Alligator mississippiensis: one gene and its partners. The protein of the gene in region 1 interacts with the protein of each later gene in a pairwise test. Links are inferred from orthologs where the notes say so. Each region holds a gene or a part of one and is shown on either strand. Other genes may lie near its edges.

Region 1 (10,251 bases):
TAAGTTTTAGAAGCAAAAAAACCCACAGGTTGCTGCCATAGCTTACCTGAAGGGCTGTCTGACACAGGTCTACTAAGCCTTGAATGAGGTAATATTTGGCTTCTGCCATCAGCTCTTTGATCTCCTGCCTGTTTTTTGGAAGCGCAATCGTGTCATCTCGAAGATAATTTAAAATCGTTCCAAAATGTTTCCCACAACGGTCTATAAGGATCCAGCCTGAAAGATAAATGCCACAACACTTCTATCTCATCCTACATCAGGAGAAGCAAATGGCACTCATTAAGAAGGCCAAGCATGGCATCCCAGTATACCAACTCTCCACCCACATCCTTTGAAAGGAATCTAAAATCTCCTGAAATAGGAAGTCAATCATGCCCTATTGTCTGTGCTGGGACTGCTGACATCAGACAAGCTGGATCAGGCCCACACAGACATGAAACCGAGAAAGGAATTGCTCATCTCATTACCTCTTTTCCCTCCACCCTCCTAAGAAGAAAGATCCAGCTGGGTTCCTAAGACAAGCAAGACCTAGATTAAAGAACCTAAAACAAAAAATAATCAGCCCTCAAGAGGCAAAACCCCACGGGAAAACCCAAGAGACTGTTCTCCTTGCTGATCAGTCCACACCCTTCTGCACCAAAACCATGCGCTATCATTTGTCTTGTCTATGTCTGATTTTAATCAGTTAGAGGCATGAACCCGTTTAATTATTATGGGAAGTAAGTGGGGGGGTCAATTTTATAGCTAGTCTTAAGAGCTCTATTTAACTGCCTGGGGAGGCAGGTCTATTTTAGAAAACTGGTTATTGTTAGACAGATTGCAGGTCTACTTAGAAGCTCAGGGTACTGCCAGCAAAGTTGGTTCTTAGGATTAAGGAATGACTACTTCTGCCTGCAGGTTGGGAAGGCATACAAGAATAGTACAGGGTCCCAGAACATTTCAATCCTGTGACATACTGGAAATCCTTCAGCACAGTATTTCGATGTTCTGGTTCGAGAAAACGTTGTCTGTGATGGAAGGCCTTTTGGGAGTCTTTCAGCTTGTGTGATTTTTAGTTGCTGTACTAGCAAACATGGTAGCCTAAATAAAAAGAAGTGCTCACTTAATAGAGGCCTATGATGGTTGTTGTAATAGCAAAACATTTCACTATTTTAAAATGTTTACAAGTCTTTATAAATATGGATAACTCAATAATTGAACTCAATGAAAGTACCCGACTCTCTTAATCCCCTGCCAAGGATGGCAAGACTCCTGCCAACATATGTTGCCAGCAGAGACCCAGGTACTGCCTGTTGCCAGGCAGCTTCTCCCTAGGAAAGCATCAAGAGGGCTAAGAGGCTTGCTGAAAGCAACTACTAGGTCTAAACCAGGTCTAAGCTCTGCAGACCACCTGCGGGTATTTGGCAGAGGTTTTTCTAGTCATCAAGCACTGCTGTTTGGAGAACAATAAAAGCCGCATTCCAAAGATGCCAAAGTGTACAGCAGCTCACAGCAACCAGTGAGGGGAGGAGGGACAGGCCATTTTGCTCCCTGAATACGTGCAGGCAGGAAAGCCACCAAACAGGAAAACCCTAGCACAGGAAAGAGTGGAGGACAGATGGCTCTCCAAATGATTCTAAAACATCCCTGATGTTTCATTCATTAGCAAAGAGGATGTACAACCCGCCATTAAACATTGTTAGCACAGGCTGCAGAGTCAGTGGCAGGAAATCTGTGAGAGAGACAATGCCAAACACCCTTGCGTAGCAGCTACTCTACTGCGGAGACTGGAAGTGGAAGGAGAATGAGAAATGTCATTGAGCTAATATCCTACATTTCCAGAGGGATGAAGAATAGATACTTCGAGAGCTGTGTATGGAAGGAGACAGAAACACAGAGAGGTTTACCTCCAATAAAAGATTCTAAACCCTGTTTGGGTAGTAATATCCCTATTTTATGTTTGCCGTAACACAAAGTTGCAGTGTTGCAAGGTTGCCACTAAACTAGGTGTCTAACAAGCCAGGTTTAGACTGATGTGCAGCACCTACACAAAGGTGCATCAGTTCAAACTCAGTGTACCATAACATCCCTAGGTGACTTAGCACAATCTCTGCATGGTAAACAGCTCTTACAGATGGGTACTAAGAGAAATGCTAAGAGAACACAGATTACACATAACCCAAGCCTTGATAATACTTTCCATGCTTTTTGGTTTGTATAAACACTGAGATTGGTTTTATTTAAAAACTGCCCCTAATCAGGGGGCCTCTACTTCCTATGGCACAATCCCCTGCTTTCCTGCTCCTAAAGAATTATTCTGGCTGAGAGCATCTCCAAGAGGAAAAGGAAAGCATGTACAATTACTGATCAAACTGATGATCCTCCTTGTCTATTATTTTGGAAAAAAGAAAAAAAAAGCCGTGAAGCTCTTGTTTACACTGTACACTGTTGGGCTGCAAAGACGGTAGCTTTATGGCTGCTTGCAGATATTAAAAAAACCCTGAAATGGTGCTTCACTTTGAACTCGGTGTACTCCTGTGTTAAGTCAAGCGCACGTCCCGAAGAGGTAGCACAGTCAGTTGGTCCTTGACCTGTACAGATCAGGCGCTTTAGCAGGTCTTTTATCTAACAGCTGATTGAATCAGCTATTAGAAAAAAGCACCAAAAAGCCCTGCTGAAGCACCCGATCTATACAAATGTTGCAGAGCTGGGTAGAACTAGTGTGCTGCTTCTTCCAGTAAAGCCCAGTTACTTGGTTGGTTTGGATTGTTTTTTTTAATGTCTGCAAACACCCTGTAAGCTTATGCACAAGGGTCCAGTCCAAGAGGTCCTGACTGCCAACTAGAACCTCTAAAAGTCATCTCGCTGTAGACAGTTTTACCTGCAACAAGCAGCACATCACCAGGAGAAGAAAAATGCAGCTCCTCAAACAAAGCAGGTCAGAGTTTAAAATAAAACCTTAAAAAATGATGTCACTTATGTACCCCCTTCGCATATTGTGATTGATGCCTCTATGCAACACTATAAAAGCAACAACCCACATACCACCTTATGTTTAGTCCTGGAAAAAGGCAGGCAATCCACATACCAGCTGTGCCATGAGCAAACAACAATCCCAGCTATGAAAGGGGAGATTTTTCAAAGCATGGAGGAGTGAAACTGAAAACCAACAGGGGTTGGGTGTCCCATGCTTCTTGTCTGTAAGAAGTCTCTCCATAAATCTCTTCCATTAACTAAGCTCCCATCCTTAGACACACGCAGCCCCACTGTTGGCACTGCTTACCTTCCTTGTCAGTGAGCACTTCCATCCTGCCACTGAACATGGCCTTCAGCATTGTGTCGTGCCGGGTCAACACCTGGACTGTGGTGTAATACAAGGAGCCCCCGACATTGAGCCGCACATACTTGTTGCCAAGGCTGCCCCCTTTGAAGCTGCAGGCTTTGGGCTTGGCTCCTGAAGCTGGACAGATGGTGGTTAAACACGTGTCCCCAGACATCTCCTTCTGCAAGTAGATGACAACTCTGCAGCACGTGGGCTTGATGGATTCCGCCGTGATTGGGGAGAAGTCACAATGAGCTGGGCAGGGAGGGCAAGGCGGCGATTGTCATAATCCACTGGAGCCTTTGACAACGTTAGAAACAAAAGAATAGATTAGTTTAGTTGGAACCAACCTTTCTGACAGGCAGGACACAAATTACCACTGCACCCTCCCCGGCTGCCACTCCAATCCTCTTCTCTTGCCTGGTTTGCTGCTCTGCCTCCTTCCCTCCGCTCCCTGCCCCATTTGCTGCGTTGCTTTCTGCTTCCTGCCCCCTCCCTGATCACTCACATACCCCACACACAGGCTGCTTGGACCACTTGTGGCATGTGCGCCGTAGGTTGGCCACCCCTGGATTACATCAACAGGGAAGCTACATTTCCCAATGAAAATATGGGACTCATATATTTTATCCCTGCAAGCTAGTCACAGGGACTGCAAGCTAGAAGGACGAAAGAGTAGGTTCAAAAGCTTGTCAAGAGGACACACAACCTTTCAGCATGAGGTTACAATTCAAACCTTACCCAAATAGGTAATGGCTGAAGATTGTCACCATCTCGGGTAATTCATCAAAATGATTTTTAGCCAGACCTCCATTTCCCCCTTCCTCCCACAGGATAAACTTTTCACATCACAAAAACCTATTGAACTATTTCTGTTAGTTTACTGATAGGATTAAAGCAGCACATGTAGCCCAGGCGCAATTATATCAGTATAAAGGTAGCTTACACACCAATAATAAATGTATAAATAAATGGATTTAAAGGTATTTTACACACCAATTTATAGATCGGTATGTTGGGTTACCTTTCTAACGAAGATATTCTTATCAAAGTAACTTATATACTAAGGAGAGAGAAAAAAAAAATCTGCTTTTTAACATAAAAAAGTCGTTATTCAATTAAGATGACGCTGACTTCCCGCAAGGTTTAACTAATTCACAAGGTGAGTTTGGTCCTAAATTTTCTTTCAGACCAGAGACAACAAAAGGCAACTGCGGTTTCAAGCAATGGCTGCTCCCATCTCCGTAGGGCCAGCGTCTGCCTTTCCGGCCCTTGGCGACTAAACCGATGGGACCCGCGCGCTGCCGGGGGCACCTCGCCCCTCGCCCGGACCTCGTCCCCCGCAACCGGGGAGCTTCCTGCGCTCCCCTCCACCAGGTTTCGGGTTGAGTCGATGGGTCTTGCGTTCCCCCCAATTTTTTCCCTCCGAGCCCCCCCCAAATTACCTGAGGATCATTTGAACCCATCCCCAGCACCTGGGGTGTGACCCCGCAGCACCTACACCCCTGCAGCGACAGACGGAGGCACAAACACAGGGAGGCCCCCAGCCGGGCCTGTGGGTGGGGGGCACACCCCTCCCGCCTCACTTCTGCCGGTCAACCCCCCCGAGCTCGTACCGGTGCAGGCCGCTCCGCCGCCGGCTCCACCGCCCCGGCCCGGTCAGCACGTCTCCTCCCGCCCAGGCCCGCCCCCGACTTCTCCTCGCCGCCACGGCGGCGGGGACTACAATTCCCAGCGTGCTCCGCGGGGTGGGGACGCTTCCCAACATGCTCCGCGGGCACGCGCCTCTGTTGTGGATGGGAGTTTCCCGCCGGTAACTGCAACTCCCGGCATGCTCCGCGGGCAAAGACAGCCATTCCCAGCATGCATCTCTCTTATGGACGGGAGCTCCCAGTAGGCCTCGGTAGCCTGGAACTGCAACTCCCGACATGCTCCGCGGGCAAAAAGTCACTCCCAGCATGCACCTCACTTGCGGACGGGCGCTCCCAGCAAGCCCCTGCATGCAAAGACAGCCATTCCCAGCATGCCCCTCACTTGTGGATGGGCCCCGGCAGTCGGGAACTACAACTCCCGGCAGGCCGGCGGCAGGCAGGGAGGCCCCACGACGTGGAGGCCGCGCGGAGGTCAGCAAGGAGCCGAGCCTGGCAGCCACGCGTCATTATAAATAATTAAGAAGAATACTAAAATAGAATGAGAAACAATGGAATGAGCTAAACAAACGCAGCGCCCCGCTACTCTCAGCCTATCCCCTCCCTCCCTCCCCCCGCGGGATGGTACATTCCGCGCGGGGGGCGGGGCTGTCGCCGTGGCAGCCGAAGGCCGCGGGCAGGGGAGTCGCAGGGCGCGGGGGGCGCTGCTGCGCCCATTCCACCGGCGGGTAAACTGAGGCCGCTGGGCGCAGGCGGCGGCCATGGCCCGGGAGCTGCTGGGTGGCGCGGGGCTGCACTTCGACGAGCTCAACAAGCTGCGGGTGCTGGAGCCGGGCGTGGCGCAGCAGACGGCGGAGCTGCGGGAGGAGTGCAAGGCCTTCGTGGACAGTGAGTGCCCCCCTCCCTCCCCCCCGGATCGGGCCCCCACGTGTGCTGAGTCAGCAGGGCCGGGCTGACCCATGTTCCCCAGGGCAGGGGGTCACTCCGAGCCTGGCCCCTCGGGGGGAGGGAGTAGATGCGGTACGCGCGTGGCTGGAAAACATCTGTAACTCGAATTCGTGTCGCACACACGTGTCGCACAAGCACGGACGAGTTGCGTGTGCGGGTTTCCCTCGACGCGCTACACGCGTCGCTGGAAAGCGGTGCGTAACTCAAATTCGTGCCGCGTACACGTGCCTTACAAGCAAAGACGAGTTGCACGTATAGGTTTCCCTCGCTCGACGCGGTAGGCAAGTTCCTGGAAAACGTCTGTAACTCGAATTCGTGTCGCACACACGTGTCGCACAAGCACGGACGAGTTGCGTATGCGGGTTTCCCTCGATGCGCTACACGCGTCGCTGGAAAGCGGTGCGTAACTCAAATTCGTGCCGCGTACACGTGTCTTACAAGCAAAGACGAGTTGCACGGATAGGTTTCCCTCGCTCGATGCGGTAGGCAAGTTCCTGGAAAACGTCTGTAACTCGAATTCGTGTCGCACAAGCACGGACGAGTTGCGTGTGCGGGTTTCCCTCAACGCGGTACACGCGTCGCTGGAAAGCGGTGCGTAACTCAAATTCGTGCCGTGTACACGTGCCTTACAAGCAAAGACGAATTGCACGGATAGGTTTCCCTCGCTCGATGCGGTAGGCAAGTTCCTGGAAAACGTCTGTAACTCGAATTCGTGCCTCGCAAGCACCGAGTTTAGGTTTCCCTCGCTTGACGCTGGAAAGCGGTGCGTGACTCGAATTCGCATCGAGGGGCGGGAACCCACTTTACGATGTAACAAGCATGGATACGTTCCAGGGCCTCGGCTGCAGTGACGTGGCGTCGTGGCGCTCCCGGGGCAGTGGCTGCGGGCGGCTTCGTGGCTCACAGCTCCCGGAGGAGCCGCCGGCCACCTCGGCCCCCCCCAAATAATGTCTGCTTCCTCTGCCTGTGTTGTCGCTCCCACAGTGCACTGCACAAAGCAGGGGACTGCGGGCTTCCGCTGCACCGATCACATAAGAGTGAATTTACCTTGCATATAATGACCATTTCCCATTTTTGGTATAAAAAGGGTCGTTGCCTAAGAGCGAATTTGCACATACGCAACCCGCATAAAGCGAGGGAAACTCGGAAAAGAAACCTGATCCAGGCCTGAGCTTCTCATTGCCAAGCTCCCGTCCAGCATAGATAGAAGAGGTCGATGTCGACTTCCCCTCTCCCCCCCAGCAATATTTGACCTATTATTTATGGAGATGTTTTCTGAAGTGAATTCATTAGTGTAGGGAATGGCTTGGCTGCAGATAGCATTGCTTTCTGTTTGCTACCACAGCCGTGCGAATGGCATGGATACACCTGTGTAAGGCGACTTCTCGTTGCAAATCCTGACTGCTCAATTGCTTTCGGTTAAAGATTAAATCAAGGCAAAGTTCCCGTGAAGTATTATTTATTGTGACATTTCCAGCTCGCAGCACATACAGCAAATGCATTTGGTCTCACGCAAGGAAAAGGGATGGTTTTTTGTAGGTGGAAGCCCAGCTTTGTCTTTTGAAAGGATTATTTTCCCGCAGGGCTTTATTGTGATATTGTATGTTAGGACACTTCACTTGCTAAAGAAGCCAACAAAGGGCTTTATTTAAATCCAGAGATAAAACAAGTCAGAACACAGAAGCACACATCATAGTAGAAGAAATAGCACCCAATTTGAGTAACAAGAAAAACCACAGAACAATCTGTGCGTGCATTGTTCCTGATGCAATCTGTGTGCGCGTTGTTTCTGTCAAGCACAAAGTAATCCCAGTTTAAAAAACAAAGCACTCAAAGTCTATCAGAATACAACACTGGTATCACTTTGATGGATGCATTTGGTATAACAGCAATTTCTCTCTTTTTTTTTCCCCTCCCCAGAAATTGCAGAGTTTCAAAAAATAGTGGGTAGCTTAATTGAACTTGTTGATCAACTAGCAAAAGCAGCTGAAAGCGAGAAGATGAAGGTACTGTGCAAATATTATCTAATGCTATCCTCTGCCTCTGCAAGTAAAGACCGCCCCCCCCCCCCCCCCCTTATTTCACATTCAAAGCAATCTGTAGCAATCCATCTGAAATAGACAGTCGCAGATGGTGGTGCGTGCGGGATCTCTGCAGTGACAGCCAGGTCTCCCCTTATCAAGGTGTATAAAGAACCATTGACAGATTCTGACAAGCACGCTCATTATAGTGTCACATCACTCTTGTATTTGCATTATCCCAGCCCTACTGGTTGTTGGCACATGTGCAGGTAAACATGCTTTCTAATCAGTTTCTTTCTTCCGCTAATTTGTTCCAAAGGACCCGAATTTTGTACGTGCGGCATCATTCAGAAAGTGTCACCAGGGAGAGCATCGTCATTGAAGGGAGTTGGCAGAAGGAAGAGGTTGATTAGAGAAAAAAGCATTTACATACACACTAATGATAGCTTCTTTTGTGAACTCCATTGTTGATGCATACGTAGACAGACACATCACCCATCTGTACACTTTATAGGTTAATTTAGAAATAGTATAATAAACAAGCAAATGTATTGTCATCTTGATTTGGTGGGGGGGGGGCAAATCGGAATTAGCGGTCACCTCTCTGCTTACCTGTCCTTCCCTTGTACCAGTGATCAATGATCCTGTAATATTTCTAGACAAGGCTTTGCCACTGCCCTCTCTGCGGCTTGGCCAAATTACCAGTAATGGTGGTGTTAGCTTCCCCTGACAGGAAAGTGGTGTTATTACCTAACTTGGTAGGATGCCACTATCAGTTCACTAATGTCTGTGCAAAGCTAGCAAGCCTCTGATCCACAGAAATGCACATTGTGCATGACATTTCACAGCTACAAAGACGATAGATTTGTAGGGACTCTGTCTGTACCACAAACTCTCTTAGCATCTATCTTGCTTTGCCATATACTGTGTGTGGGTCAGTTATCGTGGCAAACCTTACGTTTGAAGAGGAAATCCTATGAAGATGTTACTCTTCTCAGTGCCCAAGTGTTTTAAAAGGACCTGAAAATTGTCCAGCTGGAAATGACAGTAGCAAAACATTAATGATAAAATTCCTTTGCTAAAAAGCAATCTTGTTTCTATAGGCAATTGGTGCCCGAAATTTGCTAAAGTCTATAGCTAAGCAAAGGGAAGCACAGCAACAGCAGCTTCAGGCTTTAATAACTGAGAAGAAAATGCAATTGGAAAGGTAAGTTTGTGTGTACATGAAGCCAAGATTGAGAGCTCGCTCTGGAAGTCTGATTTGATCTTTTGAAAGATAATACTGTAACAAACATGATTTATTCAGTTTGTGAATTCTGCTGTGATTGTGCAAGTTAAATGCTTAATCTTAACATGTGCACGCCTGTCTATAAGGGAGCATTGTCCAGGGCTTTGGATTTTAGTTCAGTCCATCTTCAGCAGTTTGGTCAGTGGGGCTAAAACAAAGCCAGGTCTTGCATTCCTGATAAACTGGTGGCCAGCTGAGGGCAGGCTAGGAAAACTGTCCTTCAGTGTTTGGTTTGCTCACTTTTTTTTTTAAAGGTAGTTCAGCATTGATCTTCTCAGTGGTGCAAGGCCTAAGTCATTTAGATAGCTAAATTCTATTTTCAAAGTGACGTAGGAGCCTAAAGCATACTGATTTCCCTCTACCCCAAAAGGCTTAAGTCACTCTTGGAAATGGAACTTAGTCACTTAAATCACAGGGGGGACTAAAAACAACATTTTAACCTCTCTCTCTTTCAGATATCGAGTAGAGTACGAGACCCTATGTAAAATAGAAGCTGACCAGAATGAATTCATCGACCAGTTCATTTTTCAGAAATAAAGGATTTGGAGACCAAACAGCAATGACCTTGGAAAACTTTACCATTCCAGTATACTAATAATTCCAAAAATATGCAGTTTTGCATTGTGTATGAATGAGCAAAATGGTTTGTACAAAGGAAAAAGCTTTTTGTAATTCTATATGAACTCAAAATGGCAATAAGAAAGGTTTTTCCCCAGATGTAAAGAAGACCACTTCTAGCCTTTCACTACTTTTTAAAAAGTTTGGTATGGTCAGTAGTTTGAATTCAAATAAATACTGCTGCTGCTATGCGACTCCCTTACTTTTTGAAATGTACGGTACTTTCAGATAAATCGGAAAAATAAATTATTGTTTTTAGACATTGCTTTCTTTGTTTTTATATTGCCTCTGGATGTCAGAATCAGCTGCTACAGTTCATCTAATTTCTAGATCTGGAATTTTAAAACATTGTCTTCCTTAGACTTATTTAACTACCTCACTGGATTGCCACATCTAACAATTTCCTGGGGTGCTATAGTAAAAAAG
Region 2 (11,261 bases), on another chromosome or scaffold:
CCCCCACATAGGCGGCTGCAGTCATGGGCCGATGACTGGAGAGCAATATTGGAAAGCAAACGCAGGAAGTAATGGAGAAGGGAAACAGTGCTGTTCACATCGCAGATGGAAACAGCTGGGTTGTGAACTGGCATTCAAGTCCCTTTTGAGGGAATCACTTTGACATAGCTCAGGCAGCACCAAGGGCTGACGATACTAAATGGGGAATGACTCCCAAACTTTGAGTCATCACAGATGTGCATCTCCTTCAAACTTCCTGGAACACTTGCCCTATTAAATTATTTCACTTTGTCAGAGAGTTGTTATTGAGCTGGAGGGGGAATCCTTCACAAGAGGAGCAGCAGCTGGTTGTGAGGTCTAGTACCGTGTTCTGGGATGCTTGGGTGAAGTAGGCAGGGCACTGAACCCCCAGTTACATATCGTGCCACCCACCATGCAGTGACAGGTGTGGATGTAAGAAAGTCATGTTTAACAGCATTGGCATTTCAGTGATCTCATTTACTGGTCAGAACTTATTTGGCAGCTTACCCTCTACCAGACATGACCTGCTTTATATTACAAATTTGCTCTCGCAGCCCAGCTCCCTCCCTGCCTCTTTCCAAACAAAGCTACTTCCATCTGAATGGTTTTCACCCCTTCTACTTGGTTTCATCCCTCTGGTCTGTGCCCAGCAGCTATAGGCAGGCTCTGAAGACAGGGCCAGCTCTCTCAGTTACTACCCCAAGCTGCTTGCGCAGCTCTGTGCTGCTCAGTCCTTTGGGAGGGGGATCCCTACCGCAGTGTGTTTGCTTAGGCTCCTGGCCTCCTCGACCTGCACAGGTGTACAGTAGTCCTCAAGGAAGACCACTGCCAGATTGCTCAACCTCCTGTTGGTAGAAAGGGAGAAACGCAACATGCACTCCACCACGGGGAGAGCCGTGATCTGTGGGCGAGACTGCGGCGTGGTCAGGTACATCAGCGTAGTGACTGCCGACATCACCGTTTCCTCATTCGAACTGGATAGGCAGTTTATGATAGGCTGCACCCCATTGGCCTCCAAGATATAGTCCTTGTTGGTTTTATCCAGGCAGAGGTTACAAAGACCACCTGAAACAGAGAGGACGCGTCTAGCATCTGCTAGCAACACCTTACCTCTGACGTTGAAGTTTCAAGTGCATTGGTGCAACCAGGCTGCTCACTTCTTTTGTAAGGCTTATCTACATGTGAACTCAGATGAAAATGCCTAAATCGTTGTAACATGTTTTAGTTTGGTGAAAGTTTGGGTAAGAACATGCCTATATTTGGGGGTGGAGGGCAGGGGAAGTTACCCAAGATATCTTGCTTTAGCTGCTATTGACTTAGGCCTATCCTTCAGAGAGACTTTCCTCTAGAGCAGTGAGAGACAAACCTTTCAGCCATCTAAATCCTGGGGATGAAATGTTCTAATAATGCAATAGCAATTGTATAAAGTACATAAAATCCCTAAGGCTAAGCAAGGGTTTACACATCATTGACACCCAGATCCCAATATAGAAAGAAATGCTCAGAACATTGTTTTACAAGCGTTAACATGGTGTATATCATCTGCCTCCTGGTCTGAATTTACTCTCATGTCCTTCCTCAAAGGGAGTTTTCAACCAAAACACTTGCTCTTCTCTATGGCATTAGGGGGCACTGTGCTGTCAGAGGTAACGTCTTTTTCATAGGAGAGACAGAACCCTGGTCACTAGAAATCTCATGGCAACTTTTACAAATAGAGGGTTAACAGTCCAAAGAGTTCAATTGAGCAGTTATCCTGTTTCATCCCAGAGGTGGCTACAATCCAGTAATCAATAAAAGGGTTTCTAGAAATCTCTTTGCTACCTCATACAGAGGGTATAGGGAGGCTTAATTATGTGATCTACTGATGGAAGGTGTTATTAAAAGTAGTATGTCAGTACTAATTGTGTTTGCAATATTTGATTACTATCTGTTACATGGTGCATGGGTAAGGACAGTACTAACCTGTCAGGCATCCCACACTAACAGTGTGTGCTACTTGCCTGAAGTCTTGCCAGAGGAAGTTGTAATATAGATGGGACCCAAGGGTATTTAATTATCCAATCATCTCACCCTGTTTGCCATTTGGGATTAAAATCTGACATTGCTGGCTCCCAAGTTTATATTTAGCCCATGCTGACTCACTGTGATAGGATTGTATTATTTGGTATAAATCATTACCATTAACTGCTGACAAGAGCAAGAGTAACAAATGAATATTGTACTTCCACAGGCTGTCTGGCAAAACCTTAGCTGTTCTCAATGACTGTCTTATGCAACAGAGACTTCCCTTAAAAATAACTATTAGAATTGAGTTGTTGTTCCAGTATTGAGGGACTGGCCTAGTCCTATAAATATGTATTTTGTTAGCACTGCAGCATGCTACTGAAATGAAGGGGAGACTTGCCTTAAGCTAAAATAACAAGCCCCAGCCTCCTTTCCTGCTCTCTCATCCTCCCCTTACATTGTTCCAGTTACTGTATCCTAGAGAGGTTCTTATCACCATTATGTTTGGCTGCCATCCACTATTACATTAAACAGCACAATTAATCTCTGTCGCAGTGGCTCGTTCTTTCTCCAAAGCTCAAATGGACCACTGGGTCGAAGCCGTGAGGCTGGCATCCCATGACTTGCTAGTGCTCCATTAGCACTTCGATAAGCGTTTAAATATAATCCTTACCAATTGCAAACTCCACAAGAGTCTCGTTGTCCTCCGTGAGCGCGTCCAGGAACAAGTCAAGGACTTGAAGCTGCCGGAGATATTCATAATTCTTGGGATCATAGGCAAAGTTGGCTAAATTAGCCAGTACTTGTTCCTTGGCTTCTGCAACATAAAAGCAGCTTCAGATTCAGGAAAGGGACAACTGATAACGGGGACAAGCTGTAACTGAATCCACTATGATGTGGTAGCAGAGTAACTATACTGCTGCAGTGTCCTACTTTGGCCCTAGAGCAGTGGTTCTCAAACTGGTTAATTCAAGGCACCCCATGGAAAATGCTAACTCACCTCGCGCTCATTTTTTTGACTGCGGAAAAAACAATCCAGCAATTCTTCTGTTGCAAAGAATTCAGAAAGACCCCAACAAGTCACAATGCTTTTGACGCTGTGGATTCCTATTTGAAATCTCTTGGGTTTATTTTGTGACTCCTGTAGATTTGTCATTGCAATGGCACCCTTATAAGGATCACACAGCATGCTGGCTGAGAATCACTGCTCTACAGGCTCACATTCAAGCCTTGCTCTTGGCTCATCCTGAAGGATGCTCCCAGCTGGTACAGTGGGAAATGGGCACCTGGTCATTCAGACTGTGGTGTTGAATGGGTAATGCCAGCCACATTGTCTTTTTGTGTGCTGCTGGCTGCTGAAGATGGTGTGCCAGTCCTGGGGTGTCACCCCCGCTATTAGACTGGGGCAGACCTTTGATTTTGTCCACGCAGTGCACAAGGGAGAGCCGTGCAGACCAGCCAGCTGACCCGGAAGCTCAGCAAACACCTTAATAAAATAAAAAGTTGCATCCCACAGTCTCACCTGAACTCTCCGTCACTTGAAACTCAGTGACAAGGGCCTGCAGGTACTCGAGCCGCCCCAGATCCATTGGATCCTACTGATCCTGCAAAGAGAACAACAGGGCTTTATTTTGGCGGGCCCTAGAGTCTCCCATCTTCGCTGCTAGATTAATACAAAGATGTTTGAGTGAGCGTTAAACAGTCCCTGGATTTTCTTTGGAGTCCCTTCAGACCCCCCAGGGGGATCTCACGGGGTCCTCTGGCAAATGTTAACCTGGTCAAGGCTTGGATAGGGCTGCCGCTAAACACGGCGGGGCCCGAACAGGGCTGGGGACAGCTGCAGGTTCCCTGGCTGACCCCCACAAGCATTGTTTGCTCTCCCAGGACAAGTGTGGCCAACCTGCGTGGGCGTGCCATGCAAGCCGGTCAGCGGATGGGGCTGGGAGCAGAAAGCAGAGCAGCAGACTGGGCAGGGAGCACAGTGCTGGGAGCAGAAAGAGCAGCTGGTTAGGTAGGGCACAGAAAGCAGAGCAGCAGTTAGGGCTGGGAACAAAAAGAGCAGGCAGGCAGCACACCCCATGGAGCAGAAAGCAGAGCGGCAGGGGAAGGGCCCGGGGATGGCGGGACCTGCGCCCAGGACCGCGCGGGGCCCGAACCGGCGGCAGGGCAGGAGTGGGTTCACATGGGACAGCGGCGCCCCGCGCCTTGCAGGACAGAGGGCGGAAGTGACGTATAGGGACGCTCAGGGAAGGGCGGAAGTGGCTGCCGAAGGCGCTGAGCCGGAAGTGGTTCCTGTGTCTCCGGGTGGGGGCGGGGCCGGTTTGGGCCTGGGGGCGGGAGCGCTGCGGGCCCAGGAGCAGGAGCTCGGCCCCCTCCCCCGGTCACTGAGGAGAGTTGGGTTTGGGCCAGGCCAGGTGTTGGCAGAGCCCTTTTACCTACTTCACCTCACGGATTGCACCATAGGAGGTTGTTGCCCTGAATCTGCACTGGGGAAAAGGTCTAGTACTCACTGACTAGTACTCACTAGCTAAACCTGCCGGGGCACGGCTGCTTTCCTCGTTGAGGTGACCCTCTTCATTTTGGCTTCTCCGTCTGGAAAATGGAATCATAATAATTCCCACTTCTGTCACGAGCTGATATACGAGGGCTCGAACGGCTCGGCTGTATTTTTGCATGCATGAGCGTACATGCCGCTTGAAGGAGTTTTTCTAGCCTGTTGTTTCCGCTGGGTGGGTGTTGCACACCTTCTGCCCAGCCAATAAGACGTGTAGCCAGTGTCTTTGCCTGATGGTTCATCCTAAAGTGGGACTGAAAATCTCAGGCATAAAACACCCAGTCTTGACCCCTGAAGATTGCTTGGGGTGACATTCACAGCCCGCCTCCAGCTCTGGATGAGAGAGGGGTTTTTTTGCCTATATTTTTTGCTTGAAAAAATGAAGGGCCCACTCTCCCTGGTCAGGAGATGAGTACTTGCACTTCAGACTCGGCAAGTCGTGGAGAATCGTTGCAGTTCTGGACGGTGGAGTCTTCAATGACCCTCTCGGAAGGGTCAGCATTTCTCTTCGGTGTTAGTTACCTGCTCACCTTTGTATTTCCCTAGTACAGACTATTTGTCCCTTGTCCCATAACTTCTCTGAATTGTTTGTAATCGCTTCATTGAGTCACTACTAGGAGAACAAACAGCTTGTTCCCAGACTCATGACATTGATCAGCCTCTTGGCAGGCCCGGGCAGCGCAAGATTTACTTACCCTGGACAAAACAGAAGTCTTTATCCCAGCATCTCCCCCTTTCTTTACTTCAGTAAATGATTAGAGAAACGGATTTGAGAAGCAAAAATTCACAGGGAAGGGGCAGTGCGTGCATGGGTGGGAAAGGGAGGAATGATGTGTGTTTTTGAAATGTATCATTGGGCTGAGATGCTCAGGGAGCGGGAGAGGGAGGGAAATGTCAGAACAAGAGTTAAAAGAGAGAGACAAGGCAGAGACTGCAAAGTGGGAACAATACTGGCACCTCCAGATGTGTGAATGAGAACAGAAAAAGTGGAGTGAAGCCTGGGCTGTGACAGAAACATGGGAGGCCACGACAGGCTAGCAATACAGTGCCCTGGTTTGAATACAGAGTTGCATCAGCTTAACTGACAGTAATTTGAAACCGGTTAAAGTTCATTTTTAAACCCATTTAAGCTAAATGAGTGCAGCTCCAGAGTGTGGGCATGGCTTAAACTATGAAGCAGGGAACTCATTGCAGAGACAAATGATTGATGAAACGAGTTAAATGCAGTACTGAGTTACACATCAGATGATGCCAAATGACCTGGCTGTAGCCAGTTAGATACGGTGGTACTTCTACCCAAGCTTATAGGTTGAGGGCAAGCCTATGCTGAAACTTTTGCTGGTGTCATCGGTGGTGGGGTTCATCTTTTTGAGGGGCCCTAGGTGGTGGGTCTGTTTCGGACCCTTGTGCTTTTTAAGCAACCAGACCAAAACTGTTGTAATGCAAGAAGGGTCTCTGTCCAACTTGGAGCTCAGTGCAGTTGCCAAGTTTGTACTCCCCCAATACCACCATGGATATAGTGATGTCAACCAAGTTGTTAATGACTGAGTTAGACACTTCTGTAGCAGCAGAAGCCCTAATGCACAGAGCCCTACCAGAAGAAAATGCATTCATTGGCATGGGTTATGTTATTTGGGGAGCAGGTCATAGCTATGCTGCAAAAGCACCTGTTTTGCTGGTCCAAGCAGCATCTGCCCAGGAGGGCTTGCTGGTACGAGTCCACTGGGAAATCTTTTCTGGTGTGAACTAGATCTGTTGTTCTTGCTGAGGTTTCTAGAAATAGAAGTGGTGTGCAGAAGGCAGCAGTAAATTCAGGGGCCAGTGTGAGGCTGTGAGGGAGGGGGAAGCCCACTGAGGTGAGTTTGGGAGGTGAAATGATGCTGAAGTGAAGTGGAGGGGGGGGAGAGAAGGATGAGGGGAGTTGGATTGAATGGGAGGGGGGGGAAGGAGCAGGGAAGGAAGAGGGTATCTAGGTCTGAACTTGTGGTCCCTCAGTCTGTAATTCTGCACAGAGGAAAAAAGGAGAGAGACTATCACTCTTCTGTTCTTGCGCACATGTCTTGAGCCTGCGTTAGCTGGATTTGCTAGTATATGTGCTATAGGGATGCACTTCAGGTCATATTATTTAATGCTTAGTGAGTGGGAAAATCACTTATCAGCTCAGGGTGAGGGGCCCAGCTTTGCTTGTCTTCCTGTGACCCACTAGATCTGTTTTCTGAGGTCTTTCTCTTGCTTTGACATAAGCCCAGATTGATTTAGAATCAGAACAATGGAAATTAAGGGCTGGAAGGGACCTCGAAAGATCCTTGAGTCCAACCCCCCTGCTCTGGGCAGGAATACTACTGAGATCAAATGATCACCAAGGTGTCGGTTCAGTCTCCTCTTGAAGACTTCCAAGGTTGGACACTGCATCACCTCCTTGGGAAGTCTGTTTCAGAATCTGGTCACCCTTACTGTAAAGAAGTTCTTCCTTACATCCAACCTGAAACCATTCTCTAACAGTTTATGGCCATTGCTCCTTGTCCTCCCCTGGGGTACCCTAGTGAACAGTTTTTCTCCCAGCTCCCGATGTACACCCCTTACATACTTATAGACAGCTACTAAGTCCCCCCTCAGTCTTCTCTTCCCCGGGCTGAACAGTCCCAGATCCCTTACTTTTTCCTCACAAGGTTTGTCCACCAGGCCCTTAATCATTCTTGTGGCCCTTCCAAGATTGTCCACATCTTTTTTGAAGTGCAGCACCCAGGACTGGACCCAGTACTCCAGCTGGGCTCTCACCAGCGCTGAGTAGAAAGGAAGTATCACTTCCTTAGCCCTGCTCGTGATGCATCTGTTAATGCATCCCATATGCTATTAGCTCTGTTGACAGCATCGCCCTGGCTGCTCATGTTCATCCTCTAAACATGAAGGTGTGTGTGGGGGGATGTTTTTGTGGTGGCGCTGCTACCCCCTGGGAGGTGGGTGAGACAATGTTCACCTGGCTTCTGAGTTGGAGAACTTGAATGTAAGATTTGTGGGAGGCTGACAGACAATACTAGTCACGTTCTTGACAAGACCTGTTGGGAGAGTGGGTGCATTTGTCCCCTTTAAGCTGGCTCACTGCCATGGTTTTCTTTACAGACCGCTCAACAGCATACAGAATTGGATCCCATGAGCTCATCTTTTTGGCATGTGACACTTGCTGTTTATCTTAGGGATTGTTAGAGCCTTTCGAAGTCTGACTGCTGTCCCTGCCAGGTGTTTGCCAGGACAGTTGATGACAACCAGGATGATATCATGGAGGAGGCATGTACAGGGGTAGCCCCTGCAGCTGCAATTCGGTGAGTTTTAGGTTGTAGCATGTGTGTATCACCCCAGTCTCCAGCATGGCAATCTAGGGATGGGCTTGATTCTACAGTCATTAGTGCCTTAAATACAGCTGAAATGGTACAGATTGTGTCTGAATGTCACCCTTCTCAGCTCTGGTTTTTATAGGACCGCAGCAATGGTTCCATTGGTTAAATATCAGTGAGAATGTGAAGTTTGATTAGAATCCTTGAATATTTAAGTCTGAACTTCCTGGTTTGTATGCCACAGCCGTACACAGACACGCTTACTGCAAAAGTGCGGAGGAGCCCAAAGGTTGATGAGACCTGCAGAAACAGAGCAAAGGGGCCTCGGAGGGGTGTGTGTCCCTGGCCAATTCTCCTTGTTCTGCCTAGGTTCTAGTAGTTTATAATCTGGTTGAGGCACTAGTGTTTGTATATAATTAAAGCTGATTTCAGCTTGACTGTCTATGGGAAGTCGGTAAAAACCAGTTATGCTTGGTAATTAAGTGGGGCTGCCTTGCATCATTGGATGACCTTAAGCTAATGAAAGGAACCTTTGTTACGGGTTTCTTTTTCTTTATGTTCTCAATCTTTAGAGCTTGTGGCCTCCCCTTCCTGTCCTCTTGTTCTCCAAGCAAGGGGGACTTTTTATTATGTTTTTGCCACCTGTGTGCATGCCCCTTAGCATATATACACAGGGGGAGACCCTACTCAGGTCTTTAGGTTACAACAGGAGGCAGAAGGGCTGTGGAGCGACAGGGCTGAAGGATGTTAAGGGCTTCATCTAAAAGGGTAGCTACAGTGATCAGCTATAATCTAAAGAGAAGTGATTCCAGATCCTGCTAATTGGGAGAAGAGAAACAGAGTCCAGGCTGGAACCCAGGAGCACAGTATGCTGCTCCTAATCAGGAATTTGATGCATCACCTATTAACTCTGTGCCCTGTACTCTTTCCCCCCACCTTTCCCACTGAAAAGGATGAAAATCAACCTCTGGGGCTGGTTTTGTAACACAGGACTAGCAAGATGGTTCTTGACACCCCTGTTCACTTTCTGTCTTAACCTCTTTGCTGTTATGTCCTGCTGAGCAGTTACTACAGGCCAACCCATCACTTCTTTCCAGTGCTGTCTGCATTGCTTGACTCTTGAAGGACAGGAAGATGCCTCCTGGGACTCCTTCCTGTCTGGCTCGGGGCAGTTTTGATAGGTTCCAGCCTAAGCCTGTATCATGTCCATTTTGGCCATGACAGAGAGACTTTGAGATCATGCGATTTTCCCTCCTGAGGACAAGGTCAGCTGGGAAGGAACAACCGGAAATGTAAAACATTATATTGAATACAGACATCGCTTGAAGCACACGCTGTTGTCTAGCTCCTTTATTTATTGAAGCTAGAACAGGGTTGAGACTTGGTCCTTTCTCATTGATTGGTTCTAGTGAGGAAGAAAATCCATACATTTCCTTGGTATGAAACAGTAGTTGTGTACAGTCAGCTGAGTGACACTAAGTAATTGCTTTGCAGTTATTGACCATCTGAGCTTTATGGAAGTTGCTGAAAACATGTGACTAGAGATAAGATGCCATCACTTCTAGGAAGCAAAGGGCTACATGTAAATCTGGTAATAACCTTACTTGAGGAGATGTTTGATCTAGAAGTGTAAAGTATGTTATGCTCTAGGGATCCTGGACCACTATTAAAATAGGCACTTGTTGACAGTGGAAGCAATACATCATGACCCAACAGGGTTAGTTACAGATACCTTCATAGTCTCAGAAAGCACAGGGGGTCAGCTTTCTAGTGGTTTAATTCCTTGGTTTCTAGGTTTGGCAGGCTGGGACCCCATAATTGCATTGGTCTCAAATAGCAGCTTTGGTTTTGTCACTAGAATTGAAGTCTTTAGCACCTTTTATCCTGGGGACTGCTAGAGCAAGTCTTAAAACCATTTGAAAGTGGAGAGATTCTCGCGCTAATCTCCAGCTCCAGTGTTTTTTGAGAGGGCTGCTACCCTTGAATCAGAACTGAAGTGGGATAAAAGCAAAGTTCATCATCAGGACTATAGTGCACGGAAGAGCCAGTGCAGTGGCTGCTATCCCAGGCCAAATCCAGAGAAGTGGCTAAGATGGCTAAGTCAAAGCTTGCTTCAGCATGACTTCAGACTGATCTTCTAGATTCCTTGGTGCTCATGTGGACCCACCCATTCAGCAGCAAGAAACTCGCACCCACAGGTTACCTGTCCTCTGAATTTGGTCCATGGAGCCTAAAGCTGATGTAACATGCATGCTACAACAACAGAAGAGCAGTGTAGCAGGAAAGGCTACAAATTGGAGGTTGGAATAAAGTGGAGGTTAAATGAAATTCCTCCCCACATACTTCTTTTTCCACTTCTTTTTATCTCCTCAGTACTAGGTTACATCAGTGTGGACTCGTTTATTCATCAGAAAGTAGGTGTCATTAACTCCAAGCATCTAGGGTTGACTTAAGTCCATTTATACCAGAGAAGACCCTGACCTTCTGAGTGTTACATCAGTGCTGAAATTGGCCCTGTGTCTGGCAAGTTCAGGACTTTTTTCAAAGAACTGGTCCTGGACAAGGCCAGAGAAGGAAATGTCCATCTCTAAGTGCTGCTCCTTCTTTTAGTGTCTTAATATGTTTATGTTGGCCATGAACTGTCAGATCCTGTCCTACAGCTCTTTTGGGCAAGGGTGTGGAGGAAAGCACTTGAGAAGTAACTGGCTATAAAATGCAGGCACTCTGAGTCTGCCCTGTTTCCCTGGGGTTTGGTTTGAAACCTTTGTTTCCCTGAAAATGCCCCTGAAATACAAGAATGCTCATTGTTTGGTCATTAGCTCGTAAGAAAAACCACTTGGCCTAGATGTGATTGACAGAAGAAACGTGCCTGAGTTCTGCATCCCGTATAACAACTTCCACATTCAGAGATGGGGGACATGGCAGAAGCGCCTCTTCCCCTGAAATGAAAGTGTTTCTCCCAGCCCCTCTGTGGGAGGTGGTTAAGTGTCACTTCTGGTCCTTGCCAGGAGGATGTGTTCAGACAAGGTGACTTAGTGTGTAACTCGTCCAGGACTGATAAATGTCGCTGGTGTCAGGAAGCTGTGGTAGTGCAGAGGCCGATGTGCTAATAGAGCTTTTCTGGTCTTAAAAACAGCTGTACTTGAAAAAGAAATCAGCCTTTAAAAAAAAAAAAAGTCATAGACTTGAAGCTAACTAGATTCAATTACCCATGATGTCACCAAATGACTTCTGTCATTGCCTCGTGATTCGCATCAGGCATAAAAAAAAAGTGCTGTCTGTTCTTTGGCTTGCAGGCTGACGAGGGGTGTTAGGGTTCAGTCCCTTCCTCTGGGTCTTCTGTCTGGAAG
Region 3 (10,637 bases), on another chromosome or scaffold:
AACACATCAGATGATGCAAAGTTAGTCAGCAAAAGGAGCACAAAATGCAGATCTATCTTCACTCCAAAGCCACCAGAAACCCATTACCTACTGGAATATGAATGTACCAGAGTTAATCTTCTGGAGGAAAAGGAACAAAAAAAAGATTAGAACATGCTGGCAAATCTCTGTGGCCCCCAAGCAGGATGAGAAACAATGGCGCGTGCAGCAGGAGAGGGCTGTACTCTGGGGGTTGGGCTGAGGTTACTTACAGATATAGTGATTCCGCACTCGTGCCAGACGCACCATATTTTTCAGCTCCTCGTGCCGGAAGATCTCCCGGCTAAACGTGTCCAGCCGAGCATTCGCCACCCTCGCCACCTTCTTCCCTGCAAGAGAAGAAGAGGTGAAATAGGAACCTGCAGCTGGTAGGGACAAGCATTTATACCTCATGCTACCAGACCAGCACACTGCATTCAAAACATGCAGGTCTCTGCACCTAGCTATGACACTGGAGACCTATACCAAGAACTACGTAATTTCTAATACAAGGTTCAGCGCAGGATAAGTTCCAACCGCCACCCCACCCCCAACTACTCCCCAGGCAGGGCCAGCTCAAAAAGCTCAGCTTGTCCAATATTATACCTGGAGCCAGCCAGCAACTCATAACCACTGGGAGCGAGTGGCCGACAGCCTGGAGTTACAACAAGAGAGGGTTTCTGGACCCTGGAGCAGCAGGTAACAGTGCAGAGGACAGTCACAGAGCTGAGTGAAGAAGTACTTCCTGCCTTATCAAAAGTGTTAAAGGAGTAAGAGAATAGGAGGTACCAAACCAGTCACTGGATGCATCTATATGACAGCCATTCATAGGTTAACCCCAGGCCCAGGACAGAATGGAATGGCCTAAGCTGGGCTGGAGGGACATCAGAGGAAAGAATCCATCTGTGCAATGCTTGCCTCTAGCCTGCGCTCAGTCTCCCCTTAGCCAATGCTAAGGTCCTGGGGTGGGGATAGAAAGTACCTTTGATGTCCTGGATTTCAATGACTCCAGGGGAGAAGCACTTTTTCAGCTTCTCAGCTGCCTCCCCCTCAATGGGTTGTAGCAAAGTGATGTCAGGCAGCAGCCGGTAACTAGCAGTGGCCACTGGAGAAAACTTAGCATGATCTTTACCTGGAAAATAAGGGAAGAAAAAGTCATGACCCCAGCCAAACCCTATGCAATGATGCAGCCAGAGGAGCACTGAGGCACCATACCCCACTCAAAGGCCACAGTCCCTGCTTTACTAGCCAGGAGACAAGAGCCTGAATGAGTTGCTGGGTGTCATGAAGCTCCTCTCAGTACTGCCTTGAGCTTCTGCAAAAATCAGGAGAAACTACTTCCATCAGAACACCTGGTAACACCCCTTGGCACAATGAAATCCTATGGGGGTCCTCATGTCATTTAGAACTTCAGGCACTCACCAAGCCACCCTAGAGGAATATCTGGGCTCTTTTTCCTTCCTTCCCCACACACCCTGCATCAGGGGTACTCACACTTGTCTCACTGCCCCAGCCCATAACCCCAACTCACCGATGCCCTTGACACAGTGCATAAGCACATCGATTTCTTGGCCAGGCCGTAACTGGGCAATGAGGATGTCATCGTGAACAGGTCGAAAACATGCATCTGGGAAAAGGTCTGCCTGATTGCCTAGAGGTACCCACGTCATATGTTTGCTGTACACTGTGGAGAAGAGAGGTCACCAATATCTAACCAAGTTGCCTCAGCACCCATGGAGAGAAGCCAACACTTCACAACAAAGGGCTGCTGTCCCAACAGCATCAGGTCTTGCCAAAAAGAAAGTTTCACAGAACTACAGGATTGGCTCTCTTCACTCTCAAGGGTAGGAAAAAAAAATTCAGGTTACATGGGGCTTACAGCAGGGTCCCCGGCAACTTGGAGGTTTACCTTTGTGATTAATATAGAGCTCATTAGGGTCAGAGGACTCCTTGGCTGCCCGAGGGTTTCGGCTGCACTTGATTTTCAACTGGAATTGGAGGGTATCAATTTCTGTGCCTTCCTCATCTCCTGGGAAGAGGAAAAACAGAGCGAGTCCCAGGCTAGGCCACGTCCTCCACCCCTTCCTGAACCTAAACCAACACAGCTCTGTGTCACCCCTTCTGAAAAGCCCCCCAATGCATCCTTTTGTCCTGGTGCTGGCTCTCACCTTGGCTTCTGTACTCAAAAAGGCGAGGGTCAGCCTGGATAGGGATAAGGCCTAAGCGATGGGCCAGGATCTCATCCTGCACAATGGATGTGTTGTTATACACAAAGACCTTCTCCACAGCCATTGTCGGTACCTTAAGGAGTACAGAGAGAGCAAGTCAGTCCTGGCAGGCAGCATGCCTGAAGTGCACCCCCACCCAATATCAAGCCAGAACATTTCTGCTCCACAGAGACCCCTTCTGGGGTCTAATTAACTCTTCCTGGTGACAGCTCCTTCCCACAAGTGATCCAAATCAGTGGTTCTCAACCCTTTTAGACTCAAGCTCCCTTGAAAGACACCAGCTCTGAGTTATCATTCATTTCTTGAGTGCAAAAAAAAAATACTAGAGTAATTCTTCTGTTGCAAAGAATTCAGACAGACCACAGCAGGTCGCAATGGTTTTGACACCAAGGATTCCTGTTTGTAATTACTGGTTTTACCTCACACCTTGCATGCAGGTGTTCCCACATCTAGAAAGATTTAACGGTGCTCTGGTTGAAACTTGCTGATCTAAACTAGGTTCCTCCATTTCCTTTCTCCTCTGCTTTTACTCTTCTTTTCTTGCTCTCTGTGCATCTCCTAGTTTTCTTGCAGGCCAGACTCTGCAGTCTCTTCATAACTGACTAATACCACTAGTTTCACTGTTACCCCAGGCCAGGCACAGAGATCTGTGCAAAACACTCATGAGGAAGCAGCTCCAGTGCTGCCATTTGCAGTATATGCTGGTTAATTAAACAGCTTCAGTTTGTAACACTAGGCCTGTCTTAGACCACCCTCTCTGGCTGTCTGGAGAGGAAACAATCCGGTTGCTTATTTCCTCTCCAGAATATATGCTTTGCATCCTCCAGCATAAACACAAGCTCAGCAGCAAATGAGTCGTCCCGCAGCCCTTGACCTCCCTCTACCCCCAGCAACTTTGGCACTTCTGCCTTTTCTGCTCTAATCAGTCTTCCTCTTTTCCCAAAAGTATGACCTTATTTCTTCAAGCTGTCAACTCCCACACCTGCTCCAGCAGTGAGAACAAAACTTGATGAAAGGCAAAGGAAACTGCGACAGGGAAGGTACAAGCCTGCAGCTTCCAGCCTGCACCAACCCTGCTGTGGACCAGCTCCCTGCGGCAGCAAGGGACTGCGGGGCAGAGTCGGGGACACGACAACTGGGTCACGAAATCATCAGGAAGTTGGATTGGAAGGGACCTCCAGAGGCCACATCTAGTCCAGCCCCTGCCTGAGGCAGGATCATTCTTGTCCAAACCATCTCACAAGAACCACAACCGCTACACCTGACCACCTGCAACCCTGACACAGCATAGACCTGACACCCCAACCTGCTGCAGGTCAAGCCAGGGACCCATGAGAGCCACCGTCCTGCTTCTTCAAAATATCGAGTGGTCCTGGGCAGAGGCCTGCACCCCTGCTACAGAGCAAGGCAAATCCCCCCACAACCCAAACCAATTTCGCCATGCAGCAAAATCCTTCCTGACCCCAAACCTGGTGCTTGGTCCATCCTGAGTGGAGCCCAGCACAAGCCCCTACCTCGGCCAGCAGGATGCGGCGGAACGCGTTGGCAATGGCGGCATCGATGCCCACCAGGTCAAACTCCAGCAACCCCTCATCCATGTTGGTCACGTCCACGTGGAAACCCTGCAGCCCGCCAGGGCAGGGGGGACAGGACACCGCGGGGTCAATGGGGTGCCCCGCTGCCACCCCCAGGAGCTCGGAGGGGCCGGGGATAGGACACCCGCTCCGCCCTTGCTGCACCCGCCCGCCTGCACACCTGGCGGAAGGTGGCCGGGTCCCAAGCGTCGGCGTGTCCCGGGTAGCTGCCGGGGAAGTCCGTGGTGTGCACCTGCGGGGCGGGCAAAAGACGCGTGGGTCACGAGGGACACGCGTGGACCCGAGCCCCCTCCGCCCGTTGCCCCAGCCCCTCTCCCCCCTCACGTGGCGGACGCCGAACTCGCCGAGCACCACGCGACTCCGCATCTCCTCCACGCTACCGGGCGCTGCCATCTTGCCCGCGTGACGCAAGCACACAGCTCCTACCCATCACGTGACGCTGGGTGGACGTGTTACGTTCCAGACCTCCGGTTCTTTGGGACTCCCCTCTGCGCAGGCGCACTAAGAGTCCGACGTACTGCTCCCCCATGCTGTGTGGCTGCTCCTAAGAGAGGATGCTTTTAGTTACTATTTCTATGGCACGTCCCTTGCCTTGATTCCAGAGCTGTTATGACTCACGGAGGACGTCTCCTTTGTCCGCCCGGTCTCAGTTTGTGTTTCTCTTTTGTTTGCTTGAGGTGTTTTGTTTTGTTTTTTACTTCCGCCATCACGACGATGGCGCTTAAGGGGAACTCTCGCGAGAGGGAAGCCCAGCTTCCACGTCCCCGCCAGGGCGTGCGTCACATCCGCTGCCCGAGCTATCTGGCCGCAGCTGTCCGAAGCCCCTAGTAGCGCGGCGCGGCAGCAGGATGTCTGGGGCCGTCGCGGCGGGGGGCGGCAGGGGCGGGGCGGCCGCGGATTGGGGCGGCTTCGAGGACACCATGCAGGTACCACGGGGGGCGGGGCAGCCGGGGGGGAGGGTGTATTCAGGGGAGAAAGGGGGTATCATGGGGGGGGTGTCCTAGGGCATGGGGGAGGTCATGCCAGGGGCTGGGGGTATCCTGGGCCCGGACTTGCCCGGGCCAGTGCTGACAGGCAGGCGGGTTGCGTGCAGGCTGGCGGCAGCAGCGGGGCAGCAGTGATTGACATGGAGAACATGGACGATACGTCGGGGTCGAGCTTCGAGGACATGGGCGAGATGCACCAGCGGATGAAGGAGGAGGAGGAGGAGGAGGCTGAGGCGGCGGTGGGGGATGAGGAGGACGGCGAGTTCCTGGGCATGAAGGGCTTCCGTGGGCAGCTGGGCCGGCAGGTGGCCGATCAGGTGAGGCAGGGCTGGGTGCCATCCCACCCCCACACATGCACATACTGCTGCCTGCCTTCCCCAAGGGTGCTGGCCTTACTGGCCCCGTGGCACACAGAGGGTGGGTGGCTGGCAGGTATGTGCCCACAGGTCCACATGTGCACTCAGGCATGCTCATGCATGCATATGAAGCTACACATGCACACAGATGTGCGTACACGTATGTGCATTCATGCACACAGATGCACGCATGTGTACACATACCTGTGGTTTCTGCCCAGCTTGCAGCCCTCCGGTTGACACTGAGACACTCCAGTTTCCCTTGCAGTTTCAGGGGATGACCAGGCAATAGTTGCACCAGGCTGGTGGTGGGAATAAGGCATGGGGTAGCCCCCTGGGAAGTCATTTCAGGGCATTTCCTGGGACCGTGGCTCCTGTCTTGCTCTCGACCAGCTGCTCTGCATCCTGGCTGCTTCCAGTCGCCTAGTGCTCCAGCCCTGGGGTAGTCCCCTGGGTGGTGGGAGGGTGGCAGCAGTGGTCAGTCTGTCTACTGCAAGTTTCCACCTCTTCCCCCCCAGATGTGGCAGGCAGGTAAGAGACAGGCCTCCAAGGCCTTCAGTCTCTACGCCAACATTGACATCCTGCGCCCCTACTTTGACGTGGAGCCCATCCAAGTTCGGAACAGGTGAGCAGGGGCGGGGAGGAGGGGGGCTGTAAATGGGCCTGTGCAGGCTCCTCACCTTCCTGCCCCATCCAATGTGAGGGATGCTTTTGAAAGGCTCCCCCAGGAGAGCAAAACAGGGGCTGTCTTGTTAGAGCTGCAGTGGTGTTGGCAGAGCCACCCTCCTTAAAGTGGGAGGCTGCTCATTTTGTTTATAGGTCCTTGGTGCTGTTTCCAGACATGAACTCAGCAGCATCTTCTAGTATGTATAGTGTTCGTTTCCCACCTCTTCTGATGTGTGGCGAGCGATTCCCCACCTCTCTCCACCACATAACATGGCTGGTTCCACAAGGCAAAGCTTTGTGGGGTCTTCTCTGATAACCTCCTGCTGATCCCCACATCCCTTGTGGTAGCAAGTCCTTCCTTAGTTCATTGGGCTGGCAGCCGCCTTTCAGAAACTGGCTTGTGCAGTTAATTAGGATTGCAGTACAGGCTTTTTCCTCTGGAGGCAGTGTTGCCACCAGTGCCCCAGTTGTCCTGGGAACTGGCTGGCTTGGTTGTAATGGAGGATAGGATATGGAGTCATGCATCACTAAACCACAGGTTCTAGTCTGGCCCTGGGTCCAGGCCTTAGCTGGCCCAGGGAATGGGGGACAAGGGCTTTTCATGTTTTGGGTTTATTGTTAACCTCTTCTGTTACCTTCTTTGTTCTTGAAATCTTTGTGTACCTCTGTGTGGTGCAGGTTGCTGGAGTCCATGATCCCTGTGAAGATGATTAATTTTCCACAGGTGAGTACTTTCCCAAGGAAGCTTCCCCCACAGAAAATTAGCCTCTGTATCCCAACTGAATGGGCCATGGGCCCATGGAACACAGTTCATTCATATAAACAGGAGTGGAGATGGCAGGGTAACAAGTGCTCTATCAGTGGGCTGTGCACCTAATACTTGCTGAGAGTTCAGCACTCTTAACCAGAAGCAAAAAAAGCTGTAAGAGAGACTTTATTAAACCTTTGCTTCATCTTCTATCTTTGCAGAGCTGGCACAGTTACTCAGCTTTAGCTCCTACTCCCCTCTCCAGGGACTTTTCTGAACTGCCAGTTTGCTAAAAGAAAGAAGCCAGTTAGATATATTGCTGCCAACAGAGCTATAAACAGCCTTTGTTTTCTCTTGTATGAGAGCTGGGAACTCCAGGTCTGACACAGACTCTTTCTGTGGCCCTATGTTTTGCCTCAATCTCCCCACAGTTAATGGAGAGCTAGTGACGAATGGGTGGCAAGTTAGTTAAAGCATTATGTCATACGTGTGCAGCAGTCATTGTTTCATGTGAGTTGCTCGGGCACAGATTCCTGTAATGGTTCCTCAGTCAAATCTTTGGGCAGTGGGACAGAACTGACCCGGGCTCCTGTTCTGGTGCCTCACTCAGCAGCTCTGTACCCTTTCCTCAAAGACTCTTAATCAAATGGTGAGTTTAGTGTTGTCCTTGTCACCAGCCTTCGCAGAGTAGCAGCTCAGGTCAACAAGTGGTCAGGTCACAAACTCTGTATGAGGCACCTGCTGTGTCCCTTGTTCAGTGTGATGCAGCACTTACCAAGCCCCTCCCCTGTCTGTCTCCCCCTGTAGAAGATTGCAGGTGAGCTCTACGGGCCTCTCATGCTTGTCTTCACACTGGTGGCCATCCTTCTGCATGGGATGAAGACCTCGGACACTATCATTGTAAGAGCAAGTCTTGGTTACAGGTCAGGTTTTGCACCCAGCTGTAAGACTATGTGGAGGTGGGTGAGGGAGACTTTGTTTTGGAAGGGACTTGAGTGGGAAGCTGGTGGGAAGATCTCATTGCCTAGGGCTGGAAGATGCAGAGGGACCGATGCCCTGTTGCCCCGAGAAGCTGGCTGGTGGCAGCTCAGTGTAGTAGATTGTATAGCCTCCTCAATGTTGCCTTGTGCTGTAGCTCTTGTGCCAGGTACCAGTTGGCAGCAACAAGGGCTGGGTTCAAATTTCGGGATACCCAATAAGTTTTTTACTGTGGCTCAAGTACCCACCCAAAAATCTGGGATCGCTCAATTGGATGGGGGTGCCCCTCATAAACAATGCCCCCTCCTCGCAAGCAGCGTAAACACAAAAGGTTAGATATATTACAATACACAAAGAAAGCACTATCAAACAGCAAGGTATAGTTTGTAGTTGCACCTCTTTGGAGAGACTCCACCCATGTCCAGGCAGTCTGGGACTTGGGGGGCTCACCCAGAGGGTTAGTTCTGGAGGCCTGCACCCCTATACCTGCCACTCAGCAACAGGCTGGACAGGAGGGACCCACACCAGAGAGTCTTATGAGCTACGCCTTGGGGTTCACTGCACCTCAGGGACCCATCATTGCTCCCTGTGAGGCTGTGTAGGGTGCTGATCTCCACTTCTACATGGTGGCTGTGGAGGGGTGACTGTGGCTCCAGTTAGCATAGTGCACCCCCAAAATTCCTAGTTCCAATCACACAGCTCTGCTGGGGCAGAGAAGATCATGAGAAAAGCCTCATGGGCTAAGCCTATCTGCAGCAATGCCTGGCTGAGTGTTCCCTTTCATGTTGGCTCCTCTGGATGGGGGCGCTTCATTGGGGTCCTTTTTCCCAACCCCAGCTCCAGCCCCCTCTTCTAGCCAGCTGCCTCTTCCTATGTGCCCGGCATGATATTACCAGGTTTTGCCATGCTTCCATGCCTTTCTCTTAACCAATTAATTTAAAAAACACTGATGATCCCTTGATTTGTACAGTAGAAAAGAGACCAGATTTTCTGGTCTCAGAACAAGCGGGGGTGGGGGGAGCCTGAAAGAAAAGGCCATAAAGCAGGGGTGGGCTTCTGCTTACTGTCCCTACAGCATGCATTTCCCCAGATCAATGCTTACAGGAGGCCTGGGGGTAGAAGGAAAGCAAGATGCAGTATTACAGCAAAATAGACACTGGTGGCATCCATGATCATAGCCAAACTAAAGTGCACTTTGCGGTACAGGAATTATACACAGCAAACACACAAACAGCGCACTTTGCAGTACAAACAAGAAACATAGCAACATGAAACCAGAACACATATTGCAGTACAAAATGACTTATTCATTTTGTTGTGTTATGTTCTCCCTTCATTTTGTGTATGTTATATTCTCCCCCCAGCCCAGAATTTGACATCCCCGCAACTCAACTCCTTGGTATGGGTTATTTCTAATGCCGGCATGGGACGGTAACAGGTGTCTGTGATGCAACTCTGCAGCTATTATAAGTTAGGTGCTGCACAGGCCTTCTAATTCTTACTGCCCTGGGCATGGTAGGGACAGGTGCACAGTGGCTTTCTCCTGTAGGTGACAGGAGGGTTGGAGGTCCCTCTCTGTCTATCTCAATTAAGGGGTGGTCTGTGCCAGGCTCTAGTCAGTTCCCCCTTCCGGGAGTCTGTCCTTTCTGGGTGGCCCTCCTCCATGGGTAGTGGGGGACAGACTAACTCCCTGACTGCCAACTACAGGTTTCGGTGTACAGTTTTCTCTGGACCCAGCCCTGTCTCAAGTCTCACCTTATAGACTGGTAGGTCTCCTAGTCATTTGACCACTAAGTAAGGTGTGGCCTTCCATCTGTCAGCTATCTTGTGTTTTTCCACTATGCTGAAATTCTGCAGTAGCACCCTGTCTTCAGACTGGAGTCCTTGTACCCACTCTCTAGCATCATACTGGTGCTTGTGTCTTATCGGTGTTCTTAGAAGTGGTTGTCATGGTGAGGTGATACTCTTTCTTAAGTCTGTCCCACGGTTTGGTGAGATACTGTTTATGCACTTCATAACCCTTGCTGTCTTCAACTACCATGAAATACAAGTCTATAGGGAGGCAAGGTTCCCACTCAAACATCAAAAAGTAGGGGCTGAGCCTGGTGGTGTCACTCTGAGTGGCATTGTAGGCATGTGCCCAAAACACAACATGCTGACTCACTTTCTGTTCTGCACACAGTGTTCCCAACATGTTTAGCAAAGTCCAGTTGAAATGCTTGGGTAGCAGGTCCCCTTGTGGGTGATATGGGATGGTTCTGGATTTCTGAATTCCAGCTATCTTGAACACCTTTCAGAAATCAGCTTTCAAAGTGTTTCCCCTTATCCGAGTGTATTCAACCCGGAAACCCATAAAAGGAGAAGTATTTTTCCCACAGCACACAAGTGACTAGTGACTTTCTGGTCCTGAGTGGGTTATACTTGGGCATACCAAGGGAAATGGTCTGTCACTACTAAAATATCCCCAATACTCTTCCTATCTAGTTCCAGAGACAGGAAATCAATATATACCAGTTTGAGTGGCTTCATACTGGTAATATTATGCAGATAGGCAGACTTGGAGGGTACGCTTTTCCTTTGCATGCACTGAGCACAAGACTCACAATTCTGTCAGACATTGCCAGCCATCTGTGGCCAATAGAATCTATCTTAAATAAATTCCAGCGTCCTTTCAAACCCCAAGTACCCAAAGTCATCATGGAAAGCTGTTATGGCTACAGTTCTGTATCTGTTGGGCAGCACCAACTGCTTTCATTGCTTACCACATGGGTTGGTGGTTACTCCGTGCAGCATTCCATCCATCAATTTAAGTTGGACCCATTCCCTCAGGAACACTTTAGTATCTGCAATTAACCCGATTAGAAGAGTACCCCATTCCTTTTACACCTTTTATAACATCACGTGTCTGGGCTTGCTCTTGCACTTCTTGCAGACCAGCAGCATTAAGCCTACGCAAAGGGGATTGTTCCAGCACCACATAGTTAACAGATAGCTGGAGAATACTCTCCAGGGGAAGACCCAACATTTTAGAAGTGCACTTTGACAGAGAACCTGGGGGCAGC

The links. The genes of interacting proteins can lie anywhere in the genome.
Region 2: the proteins of TNFAIP1 (region 1) and ARMC7 interact in binary tests that used the Homo sapiens proteins (3 or more experiments, as listed by UniProt). The link is inferred for Alligator mississippiensis from reciprocal best matches to the Homo sapiens genes TNFAIP1 and ARMC7.
Region 3: the proteins of TNFAIP1 (region 1) and POLR1C interact in binary tests that used the Homo sapiens proteins (3 or more experiments, as listed by UniProt). The link is inferred for Alligator mississippiensis from reciprocal best matches to the Homo sapiens genes TNFAIP1 and POLR1C.

The regions. Positions count from the first base shown.
Region 1 is NC_081837.1:7,378,889-7,389,139, reverse strand, and holds the start of TNFAIP1 (BTB/POZ domain-containing adapter for CUL3-mediated RhoA degradation protein 2), read right to left. Parts: upstream 5,010-10,251; 5' UTR 4,918-5,009; intron 4,845-4,917; exon of another isoform or gene 4,747-4,844; intron 3,602-4,746; 5' UTR 3,477-3,601; coding exon 3,263-3,476; intron 217-3,262; coding exon 47-216; intron 1-46. Other genes in the region: IFT20 (intraflagellar transport protein 20 homolog), read left to right, coding at 5,712-5,838, 7,819-7,904, 9,023-9,126, 9,663-9,744. UniProt on the Homo sapiens protein: Substrate-specific adapter of a BCR (BTB-CUL3-RBX1) E3 ubiquitin-protein ligase complex involved in regulation of cytoskeleton structure.
Region 2 is NC_081831.1:12,288,626-12,299,886, reverse strand, and holds ARMC7 (armadillo repeat-containing protein 7), read right to left. Parts: upstream 4,262-11,261; 5' UTR 4,182-4,261; exon of another isoform or gene 4,101-4,181; intron 3,630-4,100; 5' UTR 3,615-3,629; coding exon 3,548-3,614; intron 2,843-3,547; coding exon 2,699-2,842; intron 1,087-2,698; coding exon 749-1,086; 3' UTR 478-748; downstream 1-477. Other genes in the region: NT5C (5'(3')-deoxyribonucleotidase, cytosolic type), read left to right, coding at 1-72. UniProt on the Homo sapiens protein: As a component of the minor spliceosome, involved in the splicing of U12-type introns in pre-mRNAs.
Region 3 is NC_081824.1:168,537,386-168,548,022, reverse strand, and holds the start of POLR1C (DNA-directed RNA polymerases I and III subunit RPAC1), read right to left. Parts: upstream 4,262-10,637; 5' UTR 4,235-4,261; coding exon 4,166-4,234; intron 4,074-4,165; coding exon 4,002-4,073; intron 3,869-4,001; coding exon 3,761-3,868; intron 2,320-3,760; coding exon 2,187-2,319; intron 2,048-2,186; coding exon 1,928-2,047; intron 1,703-1,927; coding exon 1,550-1,702; intron 1,151-1,549; coding exon 1,001-1,150; intron 369-1,000; coding exon 252-368; intron 1-251. Other genes in the region: protein YIPF3, read left to right, coding at 4,690-4,767, 4,935-5,144, 5,702-5,808, 6,528-6,573, 7,405-7,497. UniProt on the Homo sapiens protein: DNA-dependent RNA polymerase catalyzes the transcription of DNA into RNA using the four ribonucleoside triphosphates as substrates.